Linked DNA regions of Stegostoma tigrinum. The protein of the gene in region 3 purifies or fractionates together with the protein of the main gene of each other region. This does not show direct contact. Links are inferred from orthologs where the notes say so. Each region holds a gene or a part of one and is shown on either strand. Other genes may lie near its edges.

Evidence for each region. Proteins that work in one complex are often made in the same cells at the same time.
Region 1: the proteins of igf2bp3 (region 3) and heterogeneous nuclear ribonucleoproteins A2/B1-like purify together in Homo sapiens (affinity purification with mass spectrometry; 4 studies listed by BioGRID and IntAct, with this or other methods). This does not show direct contact. The link is inferred for Stegostoma tigrinum from reciprocal best matches to the Homo sapiens genes IGF2BP3 and HNRNPA2B1.
Region 2: the proteins of igf2bp3 (region 3) and g3bp2a purify together in Homo sapiens (affinity purification with mass spectrometry; 3 studies listed by BioGRID and IntAct, with this or other methods). This does not show direct contact. The link is inferred for Stegostoma tigrinum from reciprocal best matches to the Homo sapiens genes IGF2BP3 and G3BP2.

What each region holds. Positions count from the first base shown.
Region 1 is NC_081355.1:56,506,930-56,514,701, forward strand, and holds the start of heterogeneous nuclear ribonucleoproteins A2/B1-like, read right to left. Parts: upstream 3,001-7,772; 5' UTR 2,805-3,000; coding exon 2,799-2,804; intron 2,766-2,798; exon of another isoform or gene 1,941-2,765; intron 1-1,940. Other genes in the region: chromobox protein homolog 3-like, read left to right, coding at 4,938-4,989. UniProt on the Homo sapiens protein: Heterogeneous nuclear ribonucleoprotein (hnRNP) that associates with nascent pre-mRNAs, packaging them into hnRNP particles.
Region 2 is NC_081354.1:2,799,195-2,807,144, forward strand, and holds the start of g3bp2a (ras GTPase-activating protein-binding protein 2), read left to right. Parts: upstream 1-4,950; 5' UTR 4,951-5,094; intron 5,095-7,950.
Region 3 is NC_081355.1:76,370,967-76,378,182, forward strand, and holds the start of igf2bp3 (insulin-like growth factor 2 mRNA-binding protein 3), read right to left. Parts: upstream 3,016-7,216; 5' UTR 2,697-3,015; intron 2,691-2,696; exon of another isoform or gene 2,352-2,690; 5' UTR 2,342-2,351; coding exon 2,167-2,341; intron 1,154-2,166; coding exon 1,093-1,153; intron 1-1,092. UniProt on the Homo sapiens protein: RNA-binding factor that may recruit target transcripts to cytoplasmic protein-RNA complexes (mRNPs). This transcript 'caging' into mRNPs allows mRNA transport and transient storage.

The DNA of each region.
Region 1 (7,772 bases), about 20 Mb from region 3:
CTCTTTACAAACATCTATGAAGAAGCATTTGCATTTATGCCACGCTATTCAAGACCACCGGGTCTCCCAAAGTGCCTTAGTCAAAGTTGATAGCCAGAGACTATTTCCCAGGGCAGAAATGGCTAGCACGAGGGGTCATAGTTTTAAGCTGGTTGGTGGAAAGTATAGAGGGGATGTCAGAGGCGGGTTCTTTACACAGAGAGTTGTGAGAGCATGGAATGCGTTGCCAGCAGCAGTTGTGGAAGCAAGGTCATTGGGGTCATTTAAGAGACTGCTGGACATGCATATGGACACAGAAATTTGAGGGTGCATACATGAGGATCAATGGTCGGCACAACATTGTGGGCTGAAGGGCCTGTTCTGTGCTGTACTGTTCTATGTTCTATGTTCTATTTGAAGTGTAGATCCTGTTGTAATGCAGGAAATTTGATAGCCAACTTACAGGCAAAGTTCTCAACATGTGATGACAACCAGATAGAACAGTACAGCACAGAACAGGCCCTTCAGCCCACGATGTCGTGCCGACCATTGATCCTCATGTATGCACCCTCAAATTTCTGTGACCATATGCATGTCCAGCAGTCTCTTAAATGACCCCAATGACCTTGCTTCCACAACTGCTGCTGGCAACGCATTCCACGCTCTCACAACTCTGTGTAAAGAACTTGCGTCTGACATCCCCTCTATACTTTCCTCCAACCAGCTTAAAACTATGACCCTTCGTGTTAGCCATTTCTGCCCTGGGAAATAGTCTCTGGCTATCAACTCTATCTATGCCTCTCGTTATACCTCAATTAGGTCCCCTCTCCTCCTTTTCTCCAATGAAAAAAAGTCCGAGCTCAGTCAACCTCTCTTCATAAGCCCTCCAGTAGAGGCAGCATCCTGGTAAACCTCCTCTGAACACTCTCCAAAGCATCCACATCTTTCCTATAATAGGGCGACCAGAACTGGACGCAGTATTCCAAGTGCAGTCTAACCAAAGTTTTATAGAGCTGCAACAAGATCTCACGACTCTTAAACTGAATCCCCCGTTAATGAAAGCCAAAACACCACATGCTTCCTTAACAACCCTGTCCACTTGGGTGGCCATTTTAAGGGATCTATGTATCTGCACACCAAGATCCCTCTGTTCCTCTACACTGCCAAGAATCCTATCCTTAATCCTGTACTCAGCTTTCAAATTCAACCTTCCAAAATGCATCACCTCACATTTATCCAGGTTGAACTCCATCTGCCACCTCTCAGCCCATCTCTGCATCCTGTCAATGTCCCGCTGCAGCCTACAACAGCCCTCTATACTGTCAACGACACCTCCGACCTTTGTGTCGTCTGCAAACTTGCTGACCCATCCTCCAAGTCATTAATAAGAATTACAAACAGTAGAGACCCAAGGACAGAGCCCTGTGGAACACCACTCACCACTGACTTACAGGCAGAATATTTTCCTTCTACTACCACTCGCTGTCTTCTGTTGGCCAGCCAATTCTGTATCCAGACAGCTAAGTTCCCCTGTATCCCATTCCTCCTTACCTTCTGAATGAGCCTACCATGGGAAACCTTATCAAATGCCTTGCTGAAGTCCATATACACCACATCCACATGTTTGTGATTTTGACAAAGAACGTATATTAACCAGGAGTAATTCTATGGTTGTCTCTCAAGAAAATACCCCACTTTATTTTCAAACATCTGACAGGACAGCCAGCACCTATTTAACATCACATTAAAAAAAGTGGTATCTCTGGCAGGTTAAGACTCCCCGCTGGAGCATCAGCCTGATGTGATGCACACAAGCCCTATAAATAGGACTTAAAGCCAGACCTGGGATTCCAAAGCAGGCATGTAAAATGCAACTCATTAAATACACAAATTTCTACTTTTGGTCTTCTATACAGTTCAATGTAACAAGATTAAGAGAACAGTGTTGTAATTCTACACACCTCAGCCCTCTGGCCACGGGGATTTACAACTTCAGTAGGAACTGCTGCTCATGTAGGGTGAATGTTGTCAGCACTTCTCAGGCATCAGTGAGAAGTGCATCATGGAGGCTTACAGTTGATGCAAAAACCCTCCAAACTACTGTTTTTGCACACCCCCCCCCCCCCAAATCTCCTGCAGTTTATTCTCTCTTGGTAGGTTTTTCTGATGCTTTTTAATCCAATCTATCTCAAGTCATCTTCCCCCAAGACGTTTCTGAAATCACCTTTCCTATACAAAAGAACCAATTTACCCACTTTACCTGTCACCTTCCAGGAAGGCTTTTTAGTCTCTACAATGATTCAGAACTGCATAAAACACTAAGTGCTCATTCTATAATTGCCTTCAGCAACTCCCCTGCAAAGACAAGTGTGTGTGTGCTGAATTTTTTTGGTATTGAAAAGATTCAAACCTTCTAGATGGTATAGTAAACGTAACGCAAATATGGAACGTTTGAGATTACCGTTTATTAAAAAATCGGGTTCAATCCTGAAATGTTAGTGAACATTCAAACTTCTCAAGAAGCAAGACAAGTCTCTCTTTAGATATCAACGGACGAGTTGACATAAAAAAACTGCTGTAAAATATCGAGAAAGACCCGAGAAGCGCAATATCCCCCATATATTTCACCTACACTCGACTCCTGCTTCCCAGTAGCAACGGTAAAGCCCGCAAACAGGCTGCGATTACCCACCATTTTCGGCGCGGCATCCCCATTTGCTTCTATCACCATAGGATCTCAAATCAAACCTTTCAAAATTGTACACTGAAAAAAATACGCTACGCCACCCTCCCCAACCCTCATTTTTTCTATCCCTTACCTCCATCCTGCTCGAAAAAATAATTTTTAAATAAAAATGCTATACTTCAACTCAAGCGCTTCGTAAACAACGCTATATCGATAAAAAATTGCGTTATATCTAAAGAAAAACGAGTAAACAGACAAGCTGTGACGCACAGCCTCCTCGACACAGCCACCACCGTCGCCGCTCAATTTTCTAGAACCTTCTCTCAGTCCTACAAAATGGCCGTTCGTTAGTCACGTGACGCCAAGTTGCCAACGGCAAATTTGGTGACGAAACCGGACGAGGATCGAAAAAGATTTTCCGAAAATAAAAGAAAATTTGTTTATAGTACAGATCTGAAAAATTATTTTTAAAAGAAGTATCACCCTTAATTGAACACACTAATTAAGCCTCAGGGGCTTCTAAGGGAAAAAGTCGAAACAGCTTCGGGTATGACGCAATTTAGAAATCGAATTTTTAAGTATATCGCAGACATTTTTGTTTCGTGGGACATTATCGTTTTTTCAGTCAATATTCGGTTGAATAGTTCAATACAATCTGCCAAAATAATTTCCTAAAAGTGATTCTTGGTCACGTGACGGGCGGGTGGGCTGGCTCCGAAATGATTAGTGTTTCGATAAGGACTGTATTTTTTTTATTTAAAAGATCTAGGTTTGGTTCTGTGCCTCGTAGGCGTGTACTCGTGAATAGTTTATGTTAAGTTATTCGATAAATTTTGGAAAACGGAGGGAGTGCTGGTTGGAGGTGTGCGCAAGCGCGTTGTGTCAGCGCGTGTTTTGGCGGGACCGAGTGAACCTCAGAGAGGGAGAGGGAGAGGGGGAAAAGAGAGAGGAAAAAAAAGTGGAAAAGAAAAATAGAGAGACAGAGGGCGGGCAGTCCGGACAGCCAGCGGAGCACATCAGGACTGAATTGGGCAGGTAGGGCAGGCAGCAGCTAGTGCGCCAGCTAGCCAGCCGATCAGTGCTTCACTCTTACTTCCATCCGCTGACTCGTAGTGAGCGCGGAGTGCGGGCCTGGTAGCACTGCAGAGCCGCTCGAGAGCAATCAACCAACAAGCTGATTTTTTTTTTAAAACTTCCATCTCAATCGAGTCGGGTACACCAAAATTATCTAGGCCCAAACTCCTGGCCAGTGGCGGGAGCGAACGGAAGTCCGTGTAACAATCCAAGGAGGCCGTGGTTCATTTGTTTTGGTCGTGAAGGTTTCTAGGACTTGTGAACTCTCTGCCTGCCCCTGTCGGGTGGGTGGCGAGGTCGGGTTTCAACCTGTAAACTGGGGGGAAATGCACCTTCTTTGATTCATAGACCTAAGAGATTGACATAAACTTTTGTTAACAATTGCCTTGGATTTTATCTTCTGTCGCTGTTCCTGCGCCGGTTATTTATTTAAGGTTGAGGTAATGAGTTAAAAGGTAGTTTAAATGAGACTCCAATTCCTTAATGTGCGGAAGTCTTTGTGTTTTAATACTGTAAATATCGGTGTTTAGTTATCAGTTTGTAACTGGCATTTTTTTGTGATTTAATAGGATCCTTGTATGTGGAAATTCAGGACTTGAACCTTAGCATTCTTACGAAGTGCGCATTCTTTATTTTTCATTATGAAACGATTCTTTGCTACTGTCGCATTTTTTTAGTCTGGTCGTTGTGGTATGAGGAGGGGGTTGGAAACTAGGAAGATGTAAAATGGTGACCTAGTGTTCCTTAATGTTAGATGTTTTATATATGTTAGATAATTTTGAATTCAAAGAGTAAGAGTAGTTTAATGTTCTTGGTTTTTTTTATTGCTGTACTTTAACTTTTTAAAATCTGGCTTAGAAGTTTGTTTTTTTAAAACAATTGGGATTATTAGATAGAAGTCTGTAATTTGAATCAAATGCTACACAAGAGCAAGTAATTACATTGGAATTGGTTTGTATTTTTGCTTTTGGAATGTTTATGTTCATATGACTGATCATGATTAGGTTGGTATAACCTTTGCCATCTTGCACTATGTATCCCTTTTCTATTTAAACGTATTTCTAATTTAAACACATTTTCAAATAGTTACTATCATGTTTACTCCAAAATGTAATGTTTGAAATGCTGACTTTATACATGTGAGCAATTGCTGATTATTCTTTCCTAGGGGCTTGAGTAGGCGGATACAAAGTAGAAGATGACCACGGTTGAAGATTCCTTTTTTTCTCCTATTAGCCTTGTTTCTACTAGTGAGTTAATCCATGTTTACAAATAATAAAAAGAAAATGCATCATGTTATATCCCATTTACAGTATTTAGCCATTTGACCATATTTAAATTAACAAATTAAAATTTGTTCATATACTCCTAGGCCCCAAACAATGAAAATCTGAGTTCCTGTTGTGGTCCCAGGTGTGCCATTCTGACTTCAGAATGAGGTTAACAATTTATCTTGGGACACAGACTTTTCAACACACAATTGACACTCTTCAGCAGATAGTTATTGTGCCACTTGTGATGTTGGAGTTGATTAAAAGAGTTACAAAATGGCAGATTTTTATAATTGTGAATTAAGGATCTGCTGAAATCAAACAAAAAAAAACTTCAAATTCTCATAGTCAGCAGCTGGATAAGGACCCTGCATAGAGCTAGTAAGTGGGGAATATCATGGATGTGTTCAGTGGAGCTAGGAAAAAAATGCTCATTTATATATTAGATTTGTTATTGGAACCTAAATATGCTAAATATCCTTGCAGTAATGTGTCTAACAAAAACATCTTGTGAAATATTTGTCTGAAGTTGCAAGCTTCTGCAAATATGCTCTCCTAACTTCTATCTTGACAGTAAAGCAACTTCTGCAATGTGGTGGTACGTTACAGTTTACTCCATGCTTGGGTTGTTACGATAAAATGCACTCCTGTGTGCATTTTGTAGTTTGGAGGTGTGAATGATAGGCACATGATGGTAGCGGCTCCAAAGTTCTTTCCATTACAGGGCTGACGAGGAGTCTTTCCCATTCTAACTGCTTGTTGGTGTATGCTGCTGGGATTTAAGCAAGTAATGCTGCTAATGTCCCAAAGGACCATAAAGCTGCTCCCTCATTAGAGAAAGGTGACTGATAGGTGACTTTAGCTTGGGTCACTATGTATTCGTGACCTTAACCATTGTGGAAATTGAACGAAGATGGTGTTGTTCTCTATCACATATCAGCCATCCAACCAAGTGAGCTAACATACTCTCTGGAGAAATTTACAGGGTGACATTCAATCTGTTTGGCCATTTTATGATTATTCCTTTCTTAGTCATTTAAGTTCTGGTGGGATCATTGAAGCTAGGATTTCTAGCCTAGAGGCAGAAATGCCACCCATTCCACCATGTTTACCTCCTTTGAAAGCTGTACCTAGTTTTGGACTGAATTCAGCAGTGAAACTCTTCTCCACTTGCCCATTTTACTTTTGTACCGTGAAGTTCTAAACTGTAGTCAAAAAAATGTCATTGTGAATAATGGAAATCTGAAATTTAGATCTGCGTATTTTATAAGTTGTTTGTTTCGCAGCAAGATTACTTTAAATCCCTTCTACCCAAGTATGGCCAATACTAAAAACAAAAGTTTGCTACTGTAATTTCATAAAATGTGAATGATACAATTGAATGATTATACTTGGCTATGGAATCAACTGTTGACAAACCAGCATTTAATATTTTCTCATTATTGCACTTTTTTTTGTTGAACAGAAGGCAGATAAATTTATTACCTACCCAATTCCTTCACAACTCAGTTTAAATTAGTTTTTAAAACTTGAAGGGATAGGAGTGTTGTTGAAATGCTTTTGTTGGGTTTAATCATTAATGACAAAGTGATAATATTTATTGATTGTAGTAATGTTTTGATTTCAGGATACCCTATAGGGCATAAATTCTGACACTTTTTTTTCCTTTTTCCACTGCTACCCTCAATCTCTATTGCTAGTTTGCAGATTTGAAAATGCTTTCCTGTGTCTTGCTCAGACATTTATTTGTGTATGATCCTTAAAGTTTTATATTCACAAACTGGAAAAGGGAATTCCTAGCTAAACTTAATTTTGTTCCTTTTAATAATAATGTGCACACCAGGGTTGTGAAGACCTCATGCTCTTTGCCCATCTTAACCCAGAGGTACTCAAATCAGTCATATATTTTAGTACTGGCTATCTGAATGCACTTCTATCCTCAGACATCTGATTTGCCTGGTGCATCTATTTGATGCATGAGTGTATTGAGCCAGTGAAGAAATCTCTTCGCCATTTTCAAAAAAAAGTTAAGCGGTCACCAGGGTTTTTTTCACTCCCATTATTGTGTCTGTGTGTGAGATATTTGGACAGTCGTAAGGCAATAGTATTTTGTCCATTTTGGTTTTTAGATGGAAAGGAGAGGAACAGGCTTTGTAACTATTGCAAGGTAAATTGCAGCAAGTTATTTCTAAGTCACCTTCGTACTGAGTTAGCGAAATGGTTTTTAACTTTTTAAGACTGTGGCATCCTAGAGAAAGGGAATCTCTCAGATGAATTTAGTTCAGTTCCTGCTGAACGTATGTATGCATTCATACTTGTTTGCAACTCCTACTGCAATCAGTATTTGCCTGTATGGTCAGATTTTCCTCCTTAGCCCAGGGGCACTACCTGGAAACTTCTCATGCCAAGCACGAGAGAGATTGAAGCATTTTCTCTCCTATTTCCACATTGCTTAATTAAAGCAAATGCGCTAGCGTGGTGACTTAAAAAATAAAATGAAATTGTAGTTGGAATCTTAGTAGTTCAATAGGTTAGACAATCTCCTTTTGCATTTCAGAGTTTGGCAAACCTAAGATTGTTTAGATGACAATGCCATTTATTATCAAAAGGGTTAGTCTTTCATAACGGGCACAAATCCTTGTACATTGGCTTAGATTTTGATACTAATTCTATGGGAGTAATTGTGGACTCTTGACTTTTCACACCATCCCAATTGCTGTTGCAAATCTCTTTACGGTACTTCTAACCAATTGCAGGTGACG
Region 2 (7,950 bases), on a different chromosome or scaffold from region 3:
TCTGCAACTGGATCCTCAGCTTTCTGACCCACAGACCACAATCAGTCAGGGTAGGTAACTACACCTCACAGAACATAGAACATTACAGCACAGTACAGGCCCTTCAGCCCTCGATGTTGTGCCGACCTGTCATACCGATCTCAAGCCCATCTAACCTACACTATTCCATGTACGTCCATATGCTTATCCAATGACGACTTAAATGTACCTAAAGTTGGCGAATCTACTACTGTTGCAGGCAAAGCGTTCCATTCCCTTACTGCTCTCTGAGTAAAGAAACTACCTCTGACATCTGTCCTATATCTTTCACCCCTCAATTTAAAGCTATGCCCCCTCGTGCTCACTGTCACCATCCTAGGAAAAAGGCTCTCCCTGTCCACCCTATCTAACCCTCTGATTATTTTATATGTTTCAATTAAGTCACCTCTCAATCTTCTTCTCTCTAATGAAAACAGCCTCAAATCCCTCAGCCTTTCCTCGTAAGACCTTCCCTCCATACCAGGCAACATCCTAGTAAATCTCCTCTGCACCCTTTCCAAAGCTTCCACATCCTTCTTATAATGCGGTGACCAGAACTGTACACAATACTCCAAGTGCGGCCACACCAGAGTTTTGTACAGCTTCACCATAACCTCTTGGTTCCGGAACTCGATCCCTCTATTAATCAAAGCTAAAACACTGTATGCCTTCTTAACAGCCCTGTCAACCTGGGTGGCAACTTTCAAGGATCTGTGTACATGGACACCGAGATCTCTCTGCTCATCTACACTGCTAAGAATCTTACCATTAGCCCAGTACTTTGCCTTCTGGTTACTCCTACCAAAGTGCATCACCTCACACTTGTCTGCATTAAACTCCATTTGCCACCTCTCAGCCCAGCTCTGCAACTGATCTATGTCTCTCTGCAACCTACAGCATCCTTCGTCACTCTCCACAACTCCACCGACCTTAGTGTCGTCTGCAAATTTACTAACCCATCCTTCTACGCCCTCATCCAGGTCATTTATAAAAATGACAAACAGCAGTGGACCCAACACCGACCCTTGCAGTACACCACTAGTAACTGGTCTCCAGGATGAACATTTCCCATCAACTACCACCCTCTTTACCCATAGCATTCAACGAAGAGAAATAGATCCTCCTGTTGCAAGACCGGCAGGTCACATTTTATTCTTGTGAAATAAATTGACCCCCTTTTTGGAAGGATTTTTTGAAGCTACAAAGTCCAATTTACACGCTGTCATCTATGATAATGGAACATAGATCTTGACAGTACTCATTTTAATTTTGTTAATGATATAATAACGTTCCTCTTCAAAAATTAGGGAACGATACCGTCTGAAAACAAGATTCTTTTCTACACACGCTGTCACAATTGATGCCTTTCCTCATTTCCAAGAAACATGCATGGCCTTTGAAACAGGTGTTTAAAAAGAATTGAAGTAACCAGTTTTGTGGCCCAGCACATTGTTACCTGAATAGGTCATGGAAACAGGTCATTTTTCTACTATGAAAGTATAGTTTCTAATATATTTCAGTATTTTTATTGGTTTTCCAGAAAATGAATGCCTGAATACACCCTATCTTTCACCTTTCTCTATCTCCCTTTCTCTTTCTCTCACTCACCCTGTTTCTTTCACTTATTTCCAATTCTGGCTTTTTTATTTCGCTTGGCAGTACAAAGAAATTTTCTTTATGATCCAGATATATGTGCCGAAATGTTTATGATATACACCAAATGGCAATTTTGGGGAATGTGGAGATCAGAGTTCTAGACAACCTTCATTTTCTCAAATGACTAAATGAGTCCATTTCTTTTGAGTAGAACTTTATCACTGTTACTATCAGCTGGAATTTCTGCCTAATATGAATATTGGATGGCTTATTATGTGTTCTACATTTTGCAAATCACAATGCAATTTCAATGATACCCAGCTGCATTCTAACTGCAACTAATATGAACAACTTCTTCATATTTTGTTTTAAAATGTATAAGCTCTTATCTACAATAACACTCAACACTGAAGCCCCACACCCCCGCCCCGACCCGGGATGCAGCCTCAGCCCTCTACTGTGCTCCCTGTACACCTACAACTGTGTTGCCAAATTCCAAATAAAATTCCCTTCTACAAGTTCACTGATGACATCAGTCAACTGGGACGCATATCTAACAACAACGAGTCAAAATGCAGAAGGGAGACAGACCTCTTGGTGACGTGATGAAAACAATCTGTCTTTCAATGTCTGCAAAACTAAAGAACTGATCATCAACTTCAGAAAGAAGGAACGAGAAGTTCCTCGGAGTCACAAAAACCGATAACCTGTCCTGGACCTCCTACATAGATGCGACAGTCAGAAAGGCACAAGAACGCCTCTTCTTCCACAAGCGGTCAGGAAATTTGACATGTCCATAATGTCCCTCACCAACTTCTACAGATGCGACACTGAAAGCATCTTGTCTGGGTGCAACTGCTCTACCCAGGACCATAACAAACTACAGAAGGTGGATGTGCACAGCTCAGCCCATCATGGAAGCCAATCTTCCATCCATTTACACGGCTCACTGCTGCAGAAAGGCGACCAACGTCATCAAAGACCCATCACAGCCCAGTAATGATCTCCTACAGCCTCTTCTGTCAGGCAGAAGATACAGAAGCCTGAACACGCGCAGAAGCAGATTCAGAAACAGCTTATTTCTTTACCAGACTGTTGAATGGACTTTCGACTCAAATAAAGTAGCCCGTATGCCTCTAAGTCTTGTTAATCTCTACATCCTTTGCTTGGTGTGATCTGCCTGTACCGGTCTTAATTAGAACTTTTCAGTGTACTTTGGTACATGTGACAATAAATCAATCAATCAAATAAAAGTCTCTCTAAGTCCTTTTGTACTTTGATTCGTCTTCGTTAGATATCTATCCCACTATGGTGTGTTGTCAGCAAAATTGTAGATGGTGTTCGTTCAAAATTTGCAACGCAGCTGTAGGTGTACAGGGTTAAGACCAGTTAAGCGTTTATGTTCCAACCCTCTTGAGATAAACGATAACACTACATTCACTTTCTTAATCACGGACTCTACCTGCAAGTTAACTTTTATAGAATCCTGGACCAACACTCCCAGATCCCTTTGTACTTCTGCTTTGTGAATTTTCTCACCGTTTAGAAAATAGTCCATGCCTGTATTCTTTTTTCCAAAGTGTAAAATCTCACATTTGCTCACATTGAATTTCATCAGCCATTTCCGGGACCACTCTCCTAAACTATCTAAATCTTTCTGCAGCCTCCCCACCTCCTCAGTACTATCTGCCTGTCCACCTATCTTTGTATCATCAGCAAACTTCGCCAGAATGCCCCCAGACCCTTCATCCAGATCATTAATATATAAAGTGAACAGCTGTGGCCCCAACACTGAACTCTGCGGGACATCACTTGTCACTGGTTGCCATTCCAAAAAAGAGACTTTTATCCCAACTCTGCCTTCTGTCAGACAGCCAATCGTCAATCCAAGCCAGCAGCTCACCTCGAACACCATGGGCCCTCACCTTACTCAGCAGCCTCCCGTCAGGCACCTTATCAAAGGCCTTTTGGAAGTCTAGATAGATAACATCCACTGGGTTTCCCTGGTCTAACCTACTTGTTACCTCTTCAAAGAATTTGAGTGATATTGAGTGGAGTGTTATTGTGGAGGAGGTGCAGTTACCAACCTCACTGATTGTGGGCCAGAGGGCGGGACCGCGGTCAAGGTCACACAGTTTTGGTCAGAAGTTACACGACACCAGGTTATAGTTAAACAGGTTAACTCCAGAACACGAAATAAATCTGTTGGGCTCCAAGCTGGTGTCACGTGGCTTCTGGCCTCGGCCAGTCCAACACGAGCACCTCCACAGGTGAAGGTTTGCGATCAGCCCGGAGGGAGAACGATGTTGAAGGTGGAGTCAGCAGGGGCCTGGGGTAAGTGAGCTCACTGAATGGCGGGACAGGCTCAATGGGCCGAGCGGCCTCCGCCAACCTCTGATTTTTTTTGTTTGGTCCAGAACTGCGCCTCCCATAAAGGGGCCAAAAGGATCCTCCTGGCTCCGTCCCCGCCTCACACTAAAACTATCCCAGTGCCGAAGGGCCTGAAACCGACAAAACCGCTCAGCCCCGCCCCTCAGGTTAAACATTTACCGGGGGGGGGGGCAGGTTAGAGTGTGACACCCGGGGGGGGGGCAGGTTAGAGTGTGACATCCGGGGGCAGGTTAGAGTGTGACATCCGGGGGCAGGTTAGAGTGTGGCACCCGGGGGGGGCAGGTTAGAGTGTGACACCCGGGGGGGGGCAGGTTAGAGTGTGACACCCGGGGGCAGGTTAGAGTGTGACATCCGGGGGCAGGTTAGAGTGTGACACCCGGGGGGGGGCAGGTTAGAGTGTGACATCCGGGGGCAGGTTAGAGTGTGGCACCCGGGGGGGGCAGGTTAGAGTGTGACACCCGGGGGGGGGCAGGTTAGAGTGTGACACCCGGGGGGGGGCTGGTTAGAGTGTGACATCCGGGGGCAGGTTAGAGTGTGACACCCGGGGGCTGGTTAGAGTGTGACATCCGGGGGCAGGTTAGAGTGTGGCACCCGGGGGGGGCTAGTTAGAGTGTGACATCCGGGGGCAGGTTAGAGTGTGACACCCGGGGGCTGGTTAGAGTGTGACACCCGGGGGGGCAGGTTAGAGTGTGGCACCCGGGGGGGCTGGTTAGAGTGTGACACCCGGGGGCCGGTTAGAGTGTGACACCCGGGGGCTGGTTAGAGTGTGACACCCGGGGGCTGGTTAGAGTGTGACATCCGGGGGCAGGTTAGAGTGTGACACCCGGGGGGGCTGGTTAGAGTGTGACACCCGGGGGGTGTAAGAGGAAATCCCATCGTGTGAGACACGCGGGAGCAAGGGGCAGAGGGGACCGGATGTAGTGTGACGCTGCGGGGAAGCGGATAGAATGTGACTTTGGAGGAGGCGGTTTGGGGGTGGGGGGGACCGGTTAGAGTGTGACGCCGCGCTGCCGGACACTTCCTCCTGACGCACACGCGGTAACGGCCGAGCTCGGAGCCGCCGCCTCTTTCCCGGAGCCGGAGCCGCAGGTACCGGGGGCGCGGGAGGGAAACCGGCCGGAACCTTCCGGCTCTCGCCTCTGCGCGAATCTGCCCGCTCCCTGCATTGATCTAGCGCCCAGAGCCTGAGCAAAACCTTCCCCCGAATCATCCGTTCCTCCCCCCCCCCCCAGCTTCAACCCCCCCCACCCCCCCCGCTTCAACCCCCCCACCCCCCCCGCTTCATCCCCCCCACCCCCCCGCTTCATCCCCCCCACCCCCCCCGCTTCATCCCCCCCCCACCCCCCCCAGCTTCAACCCCCCCCCAGCTTCAACCCCCCCCACCCCCCAGCTTCATCCCCCCCACCCCCCCGCTTCATCCCCCCCCCACCCCCCCCGCTTCATCCCCCCCTCCCCCCTGCTTCAACCCCCCCCCCACCCCCCCCAGCTTCAACCCCCCCCCAGCTTCAACCCCCCCCACCCCCCAGCTTCAACCCCCCCCAGCTTCAACCCCCCCCCCACCCCCCCCAGCTTCAACCCCCCCCAGCTTCAACCCCCCCCAGCTTCAACCCCCCCCCGCCCCCCAGCTTCAACCCCCCCTCCGCTTCACCCCCCCCACTCTACATCCCCCACACCCAACACTCCCCACCCCCCTTTCACACCTCCACCCCCACTTCACAACCCCCACTCCATTCCTGCCCTCCTCTCCAGTCTTACCCCCCCCCCTCCCAGACTCTCCAGTACCCCCCCCCCCCCCCCCCCCCCCCCCCCGGAGATCCTGAACGGTCTTGGCGGATTGTATGTGGAAAGGATGTTTCCTTTTCTGGGATTATCCTAAACTAGATTGAAAATGAACAACTTGTCATTTAAAACAGACAAGGTGTAGCTGTCAGAGTAACTCCCTTCCTGAGGTGGTGGTGGAAACAGCCTTTAAATACATTGAAGGCAGAGGTGGAAAGGTGAGGAGTAAAAGGTTTTTAGGTTTAGGCAGGAATGTGGAGTAATCAGATCTGCCACAATCCTGTTGAGAGGCCAAGTGGCCGCCTCCTATTTCAATGTTCGTAGAGTCATAGAGATATACAGCATGGAAACAGACCCTTCAGTCCAGTTCGTCCATGCTGACCAAGTTTCCTAAATTAATCTAACCCCGTTTGCCATGAGCTGCCAGAGGAAGTGCTGGAGGCTCATATAATTACAATAGTGTGCTTTACAAGCTTTGATGGAGGCATGGAAAGGGAACAAGAAATTATCAGGCCATAAGGAAAGAATGCCAAAATGTAATTAATTGGAGAACTCCTAAAGGAAAATGGTGCCTTGCATAAAGTCTGATTCTTTATATACTTTGAAGGGTGTAATTTCATTAGAGGCTGTTTGTAGGAGGCTCACCACATTAATTCCAAAAATGAGGGGTTTGTTTTATGGAGAGAGATTGAGCAGTTTAGAAGAATGAGAGATGATCTAATTGAGGTTTACAAGATGCTACAGTGGGTTGACAAAGTAGACAGAGCAGATGTTGTGGTGCATTGGAGAATGAGAGGTCATAGTTTTGAGACTACAGGGTGGCACATTTAAAACAGATGAGAAATTACTTCCCCAAAGAACTGTCAAATCTGTGGAATTCACTACTCCAGAGTGAGGTGGACACCAGGACACTAAATAGTTTTGAGGAGATGGACAGATTTTTGATTAGTACTGGGTCAAAGAGTTACATAGAGCTGGCAGGGAAGGCCAAGATGAGCTCAGCCATGATTGTATTGATTGGCAGAACAGGCTCGAGAGGCTAAATGGCCTACTCCTGCACCTAGTTCTTATGAAATAAAAGTTGTGTGGGAGATTAGTGTGAAACAGCAATGCATTTCCTTGGATGGTATATCCAGGAAAAAAATCCTGTTTTTGACCAGTTTTTATTATCTGAATAAGGTCCTTTGCACTGGATGTAAATGTTTTACTACATTTACAATGCAACACAAATGTTGAATGTTTCTCTCCTTCAGACTGCTAATGCTGAGGTACTCACTTCTCTCTCAGTCACAGCAGTGAAAAGTAAAAAAGCTCTTAGTGATGTTATTATTTCCATAAATTTATAAGCAAGGGTAAATTTATTTGCTGAAGTAATGGAGCTATACTCAACCCTACTCAGTAATCAGATTAAAATAATTTAAACATTGCAACTTATTTCAAAATGATCGGGTAACATGTTTGACCAAGGCTTCCAATGAGTTGACCACATTTTGTTCAAGTTTACTAACTGTTTTCTGAGAGTGTGTTTTAAACCCTAGCTTTAAGATCGGGGCTTCACTGACAGAATGAGATCACCGATGTGCACCCTCTTGGTGTGTTGTTAGTCAGGAGGTAAAACGCAAGCATATTCATGTATGTATATTCTTCACGTACGTGGACACGTTCAAAATTGATGTCCTGCTCTATGGTTCAGTTGATATAATCTGCTCTTTCCTTGCATCATTTCGTTTTGACGGTACATGTTGCCATGTTGTCAAAAAGCTATCTTTATGGACTGAAGTCATGGAAGGTGTTGGAATAAAGTGTGAGAAAGGTTGTTGCTAAAATACAAATATTTAGCTCAGAGGACCTATAATTCAAAGTTTCATAACTGAAATGATTCAAAATTGTGTATGACCGCAGTACCACATTGTTCATTAATTCATATTAGATTGTTTTTGAATTCAAAAACAATCTAATTTAGATTTGCCCTTTGAGAAATTGCAGTGTTGCTGGGGGCTGCATAGTTGTGACATTTATGTTCCCGTTTCGTGGTTTACATGATACAAGTTGGACATTTGTATCGTACTTGCTCGCTTACTTCATTTCTAATGTCTTTTTGGGCTGGTTGTCAGGTGAGAGTGGGAGAATGTAGTGGTGATTATTTATGCTTATTTGACACTAGCG
Region 3 (7,216 bases):
TGTAAAGTAACTCCCATGCCAAATTTTGCCCATTCAAGCATTTCTCTCTCTCACACACAAATGTAGCATTTTCAACAACCTTCAGACGTAACCTCATGACACTCCATGTAAATCTGTAAAGTTACATTAAACCAAAAGCTGAAGCACAAAGAATGGAGGCATCTTTTGAAGAGTGAATGAAATCAAATCTCATTTTAAGTCTGGTCCTCAAAAGTTTGTTTTTTCTACTGAGAAACTTGAAGCCAGCCAGGTGAGGAAATAGGTCAAAAACTAACCTAGTAATTTTTGTATTACAAAAGCATCCTGTGACAAACAATTCAACTTCTATCAATCCATATGGAACGTTCAAACCAATAGTGATCTTTATTTTAAAAAGCCAACAGTTGGCATTGCTTTCTAAAGCTATTAAATCCTGTTTTAGAACTGTCAAATTAGCCTTAGAGTGAAATATTGATGTTTAACCTCAACACTCCATACAATATCAATTATATATTTTGGTAACAACATTTTTGAATAATCTTAATGCACAGTTTTAAGATCGATGAACAATCGATTGCACATTAGGGTTCACGTGAAGCAACAAATACACAAGAATTAATTCCCTTCCCTATCAAATGATCTCTTACATTTCGTGGACAATAGAGGAAACATTGAATTGTGATTTTCGTTTTGTTGGCTCTTAAATTGAGAGCTCCTCACGTGTTTGTCGATTAGCATGATGCAAAGCATCTCAGATCATTTCCTGCTGACGCCCAAACTTCTCAAAAAACACTGCACCAGGTCTCGTTTTAAAACTAGAAGTGTGTTCTGGTGTCTTCTCAAATAAAATATTTTTGATCAAATACTCCAGTGATATATAAAAGAAATAAAAGAATTCAACTAGAAACCAAAACAAAAGTACAAAGGGACATTTAAAAAAAGTATCCGAGATTCAAACGGTAATTAGTTTCTAACTTAAGTAGACGGATCCCAGAGACTCGTAGGGTTTAAGATAACCTTGAATTCCAAACAGATATAATCGCTAATTAGTCAGTTGTAGTCTAATTCTCTCTGATCGGAAAGAAATCTGATACGAATTAAAGTTTCTTTTACCTTTGTCGTTTAGGAACGGAGTGCTCCACTTCTATAGATTTCCCATGCAGCTCAACTTTACCTGAAGCAAAGCACAAAATACAATGCGTATTAAGCACTTGAAAACGTTTAAAATCGACCGTTCAGCCAAGATTATTTTTAATTATCTTCTGTTGATCTTAAGCGTTAGGTTTGCAGTTGAACAACAACTTGCTGGGCAACTATGTTACAAATCTCGGAACAGTGTCGACAAGAAAGTTCGGCGTAGAACGTAAAGGAGTCGGTCAACTGTAGTCACAAAACTGATATGAACAAGTACAATTTGAAATTTTTTTTTAAGAAAACGTGAACTCAATTGCTGTGCTCTAATTCTCAGCCATTTTTCTAGTGGTCGAGTGCTAAAGGACACTTTTGGGACTCAGTATGGCCGACTACAAATGCGTTCGCGCTGGGGGACGGAACGAATGAAAAAAAAATTGATATTGTCAATAGTTTTCGGATAGTGAGCTTTCATTTGTCTTTATTTCTGTCAGAAGTATAAGATTTGAAGTGCGTATTCCTTTCCCGGTGCGCACTGATTTGAATGATGGCTCCGAGCTGCCGCTGGAGTTATTAAAGGCCTACTCTCACCAAGAAGGTACAACAACACGGGCCGAATTCTCCGACCCCAGCCCAATTACACAAGATCAATAAAGAGTTGACAAATTAAAGAATCCTGTACAGAATGCATCCCCGTATAGTTACTGTCAATCCACTGAACGCTTGAAGTGTAACAATTCAATGGGGGAAAGAAAAGACCGCGTGCAGATGCAGAGGAATAACGGGTGGGGGTTCCAAATGTTATTTAGATTAGGTTAAAAAGAAACCCAATTTCTGTGCGAACGTCACAAGAAAATCCAGTTTAGGTGTAGATACGAGGAGTGGATATTTGCAAAACACACGGGTGTAAGCAGCTTCGTCTCGCCCGCGCCCCCAGTCGATTTGTGCGAAACTGGTGCGCAAGGAGCTGCCTTAGGCCTCCCACCAAACAAGGTTCACGACTGTTTGTTTCAAAACTTGAGGTAATATTAGACTACAAGGGATTAACTCGCTTACCTGACAGAGTATCTATCGCCTTCATAGCACAGTTATCATCTGGGCAATCGACAAATGCATAACCAGATTTCACCAGAAACTGTCCAGTGAAGGGAATCTTCCATTCCTTGAAAAGACTTTCCAAGTCCACAGTGGTTACGTTTTCGGTGAGATTCCCAATGTACAGCTTGTTCATGTTGCTAAAACTGCAAAAAAAAAGACAAAGATCCTTCCGTCCTTATCTTCCCTTTGGAGAAATAATCGGTCGATTTAAATATAAAGATGGGAGCGAGAAGAGTCCTTACAAAAAAAATACACGCGATGATAAAATAAATCCCCAGAAGTAGTATTAGCAGTCTAGAATGGCGGGCTTCGGAGAGAGAAAAAAACTATTTTTTTGTCTTTCCCCCAAAACCCCTTTCGCAAACAGGCTGTGAAAATGTCACACTACGTTACTACTAGCACCGCCTCTGAATAAAATGCAGCTCCAAAAAATCCCCGAATATTCCGGCTGAATGAGCCACGTGGTCAAACTAATATCAACTTCTCACGTGAGGAATGCCAGCTATTCAATGATACTGGGAGAGAAACGGAGGGAGGGACGAGCTGTACTCCAAGAATCCGAGAAACATATTGATTGTGGAATAATAGTAGTTTGGAGCGCTCTCCATTTTTTTCCCTCTTCCCATTTTCCGTCTTCTCATTCGCACACAGCTTGACTCTAGGATCCTATCAAGCGTCTCCAGCCTCGCTACCATTGACCAAGTTTTTTTTGCTCTCTCTCCCTCTCTGCCTGCAAATTTCATTCATTGGCTTAGATCAGGCTGCCATTTACAAGGGCGATGGCGCGAAAATTCTCCTGACTGTTGCAGTTCCCCAATGTGGTGATGGTTATGCGAGTTATTGGTCTGGTTGATCGGTGGGGGTTGGGGCTGGTTGTGTGAGGCGAGGCGGGGGAGGGAGTGCATTTTCGCTGTGATCTGCCCATCTTTTGCGTCCCCTCCCTGTTTAAAGCTGAATAATGTGGTAACGATACCGTGTTCAGGAGATGTCTAATCGGGTCGTGCCAAAACCGATACGTTGCAATGGCTGCTCCTTTATTATTGGAGACGTTGTTCTTTTATTATTAAACGACGTTTTTACCCCCAGATTTTGGTTGGTTGATGGGATCCACTGAATGGGTAATTACATTATCTCATTGAAATGTTGGTCGAAAGTGATCTTTTGAAAGTTGTAGCAGTTTCGACGTTTTCTTACGCTATTCGGCAACTCCACTATTGTTCACACGAGGCGACGTTACCTCTATAAAATATTGGAACTCCAGGTCTTTGATTTATTTTCAAAGGTCGTTTGTTTAAATGTGTGCCCACAGGCAAGTTTTGTTAAAAAAAATAAAAGCGTATCAGAATTATTTTTTAAAATAACTCGTGCTGAGCTGTCGTTGGCGCAGTTCTTCTTAAAAAAAGAACGTTTTCGTTTTTTGGAAAAATAGCTAACTAAATTCACATTGCACAACTTTATTGGCGGAAGTGTTCAGAACGAACGAAAATCTACATCCGAGATTCAAACCCGTCTCCTTTGTTGGCAATCGCGTATGTGTGAAGTTCGGTATTGTCGATTTAAAAATTGTGCAAAGCCACTTCGCTCTTTACGGACGCATCTAATAATTTCCCCGCCCGGCACGAGGGGGTAATTTCGTTATAAAAATAAAATAATCGTTAGTGAATGAAGTTGTACCTTGCGATCATTCCTCATGACTCTAGCTGTCCACTTTAATGGACTAGATGATAGGTAGCGTACGAGCGCTTAGCACGTTTTCATAAATTCAAAACTGAAGTTAATCGTGCTATTTCGTTTACGTTAACTGCTTCAAAATCTTTTGTTCCGATTTCATGTTCCGTTTGCCGATTATAATTCCTGGAACGTTATAGCAATCTTCGGGAAATTGAAGTATGTGGATTGAAGTCAAATATATGCCGTATTTATTGATGTAATTGATTTACAAAATACTTTTAAAATTGTATTTGCTGCGTGTTTAGTGCGATTGATAATCGGACTAGCCAAGGAAAAAGAAAATGTTAATTTGGTGATTCGGTTGAGTATTAATTTTTAATCGTGTGGTGTGCCGTCCCATTTGGACTCATTGGGGGAAATTACTGTGTGGTGTAAGTAAATAAATTGTTTCATATATCTTTTACCAGCTTACTGAAAGATTAAAATATCCATTTAATTTGATTACCATGTTTAAATGGTCAATTCAATAACCAAAGCTTCACTTTAAATGAAAATTCAAACTGGGGGAGGGGCAAATAGAACGTAGGGCTTTATAAGAGCTTCATTGTTTAAAAAAACTCCCAAAAATTGTTGTTAAAGAAATAATACATTATGAACAGATTATTATATCCAAGATCTGACACTTTGGAACTTATTTTGTGGCAGAAGAGAAAAACTAAGTTAATATGTTCTATTATAGTTGTGATATGCTTCAAATCTTTGTTCTACCACAAAGTTCACACTTTCTACTGTTCCTTAAAGCTTCGTCTGCATTCCCCATAATCATCCACCTCTACTTAAATCAATTTCAAATACCAGAGGTGTCAATGTTGTTCATTTTGAAATTATGAAAAACTGATGTCAAACTAAATTCTTATTACCAGTTAAAGTGCACTATGTTATTATAAGTTTCCATCTTCAAACAAAATGTCAAATAACAACTCGATGTTTCAGTAAAAAGTCTTTATGTTGACTTTTCAATTATCTTAAATTCCTATATGTTGTACTGTTTTAATATTTAATGTTTTAACATGAAAACATACATTAAAAATGGTAAAGTACTTTGAATAAACACATTTGAAGTTTTGTTTTCAAATTAAAACATCAGTGGTTCTACAGAGAGCCGCATAGATTTAAGAAAATATAAAGCAATGCCACCTCTATAACCATTTCAACGCTTTTGAAAAGCTTATAGGGTATTGGTTTTTGTTCTTTATCTTCTAAATATGTATTAAAAACATGTTGAATTGATCAACTTACTTTTTGTGAGAGCAAATCTCACTTTGTTCTGCACGTTGCACATTTCATTCTTTGTGTAGATATTGTAGTCACGATTAACAATACAAATGCAATTCCTTAACTACTTTGAAATTATTTATTGTTGAGTAAAACCATCGCTCTACAAGGATAAATAACAGTGAAGCTTAAACCTGATCAAAATATTTGCAAATAATGTGATTTTAAAATATTGCACAAATTTATTATAGCCAAGGTAATTTTGACAATGGATTTAATAGATTAATATATATTAAAGTGTAACTTCGTCATAAATTCAGTACAAAAGTAAATTAATTTTGTCATTTTAAAGCATTGTATACTGTGATATTTGTTTTCAATACTATTGAAAAATGTAACCTATATTTAGACAAAGCAAATAATTGTAGCTTATTGAAATATTTCAAACAAAATTCATAACATTAGGCAATGTTTCCAAAGAATCTGATGGAAAAGTAATTTAAAAGTTACTTGGAATATTCTTCACAAAAATAAAAATCAGATTATGTTCTTTCCATTTCCTTTGTGCCTCCTTTTTTTCTGTCAAAACATAAAACAGTTAGAATGCAACTAAAGTTGTGAAATAACATTTCTAAATTATTGTCTGGGCATGTAAACACAATGTGACTAGTACATTGTTAACTACATGAACTAGTTTTAAGTCTAAACAGCTTCAAATTAGATTGTTTTGTTTTCAAGAATTAGAACTAAAACAACTGCATGAAATTAACAGAGGATCATGTCTTTATATATTGGAGTCTTCAAATTAGGATTTGCATTTAGTCCAAAACAATATTATCAACATTATCTAAAATTGATAATTCTTTCATTGTCTAATGGGACTTTTACTTTTCTTACCATATCTTTTTAATCAAGAATTATATTGTTATCTAGTTAAGTTTACTTTTTTGCTAATTGGTTACAGAATTGTTGAATTATTTAATTGTTCACTATAAACCAGATTATGCAAGCTTCTAATACATTTTTAAGAGAAAGACAGCTTAAATGTTCTCTGAGCTGTATGAGCTTTGAAATCAAAATGAACGTTAAAGTCTGAATAATCAATTGTCTTCATTGCTCGGATCTTTGAGTATAGGAGTTGGGACGTCATGTTGAGGTTACACAGAACGTTGGTGAGGCCTCTTCTGTAGTACTGTGTTCAGTCCTGGTGGCCCTGCTATAGGAAGGATATTATTAAACTGGAGAGGTTTCAACAAAGATTTACCAGGATGTTGCCGGGAATGGAGGATTTGAGATATAAAAATAGAGTGGGAAGACTGAGGCTTTTACTGGATCTTTGAAGGTTTGAGGGGTAACCTTAGTGGGATTTATAAAATCATGAGGGGGCATAGATAAGGAGAATAACAAGGGTCTTTTCTCTAGGCTGGTGGAATTTAAAACTAGGGGGCATTTTTAAGATAGGAGAAAGATTTAAAAAGAACGTGAGGGTCAACATTTTTTTTTCCACAGTGGATATTGTATGAATGAATTTCCAGAGAAAGTGGTAGTTGCAGGTTCAGTTACAAGGGTACATGAATAGGAAAGGTTTGCAGGGATGTGAGCCAAATGCAGTAGTTGTAAGTAGTTTAGGTTGGAAACATGTTCGGTGTGGACTAGTTGGACCAAAGTGTCTGTTTCCTTGCTGTATGACTCTGAACTTATCTACCTGTAGCATTTTGCATCAAACTGTACATTAATGCTTAAAAGCAGGATATGAAACCACTGCCTTTAATGATTCAAAATATGAAAATATTACGATCCAAAGCTATTCACAATATATGAAGTCTTTCAATAGTCTTTGAATAAGGAATAAGTTGTAAGTGATCCTGATGCTATGAAATGTTTTAATATGCATTTTGACATCATTTTTAGAATTTGTGATAAAATGTTAAACCCAAAACAGTGAAATTATGCCATTAGCCAGAAGTTCAGTTCTTTTGTAAAATTGAATAGATGCTTTGAGATATTGCATATTGTCCAATCCTAAAACTGAATATATCTGCTTTATTAATAATAATTACAA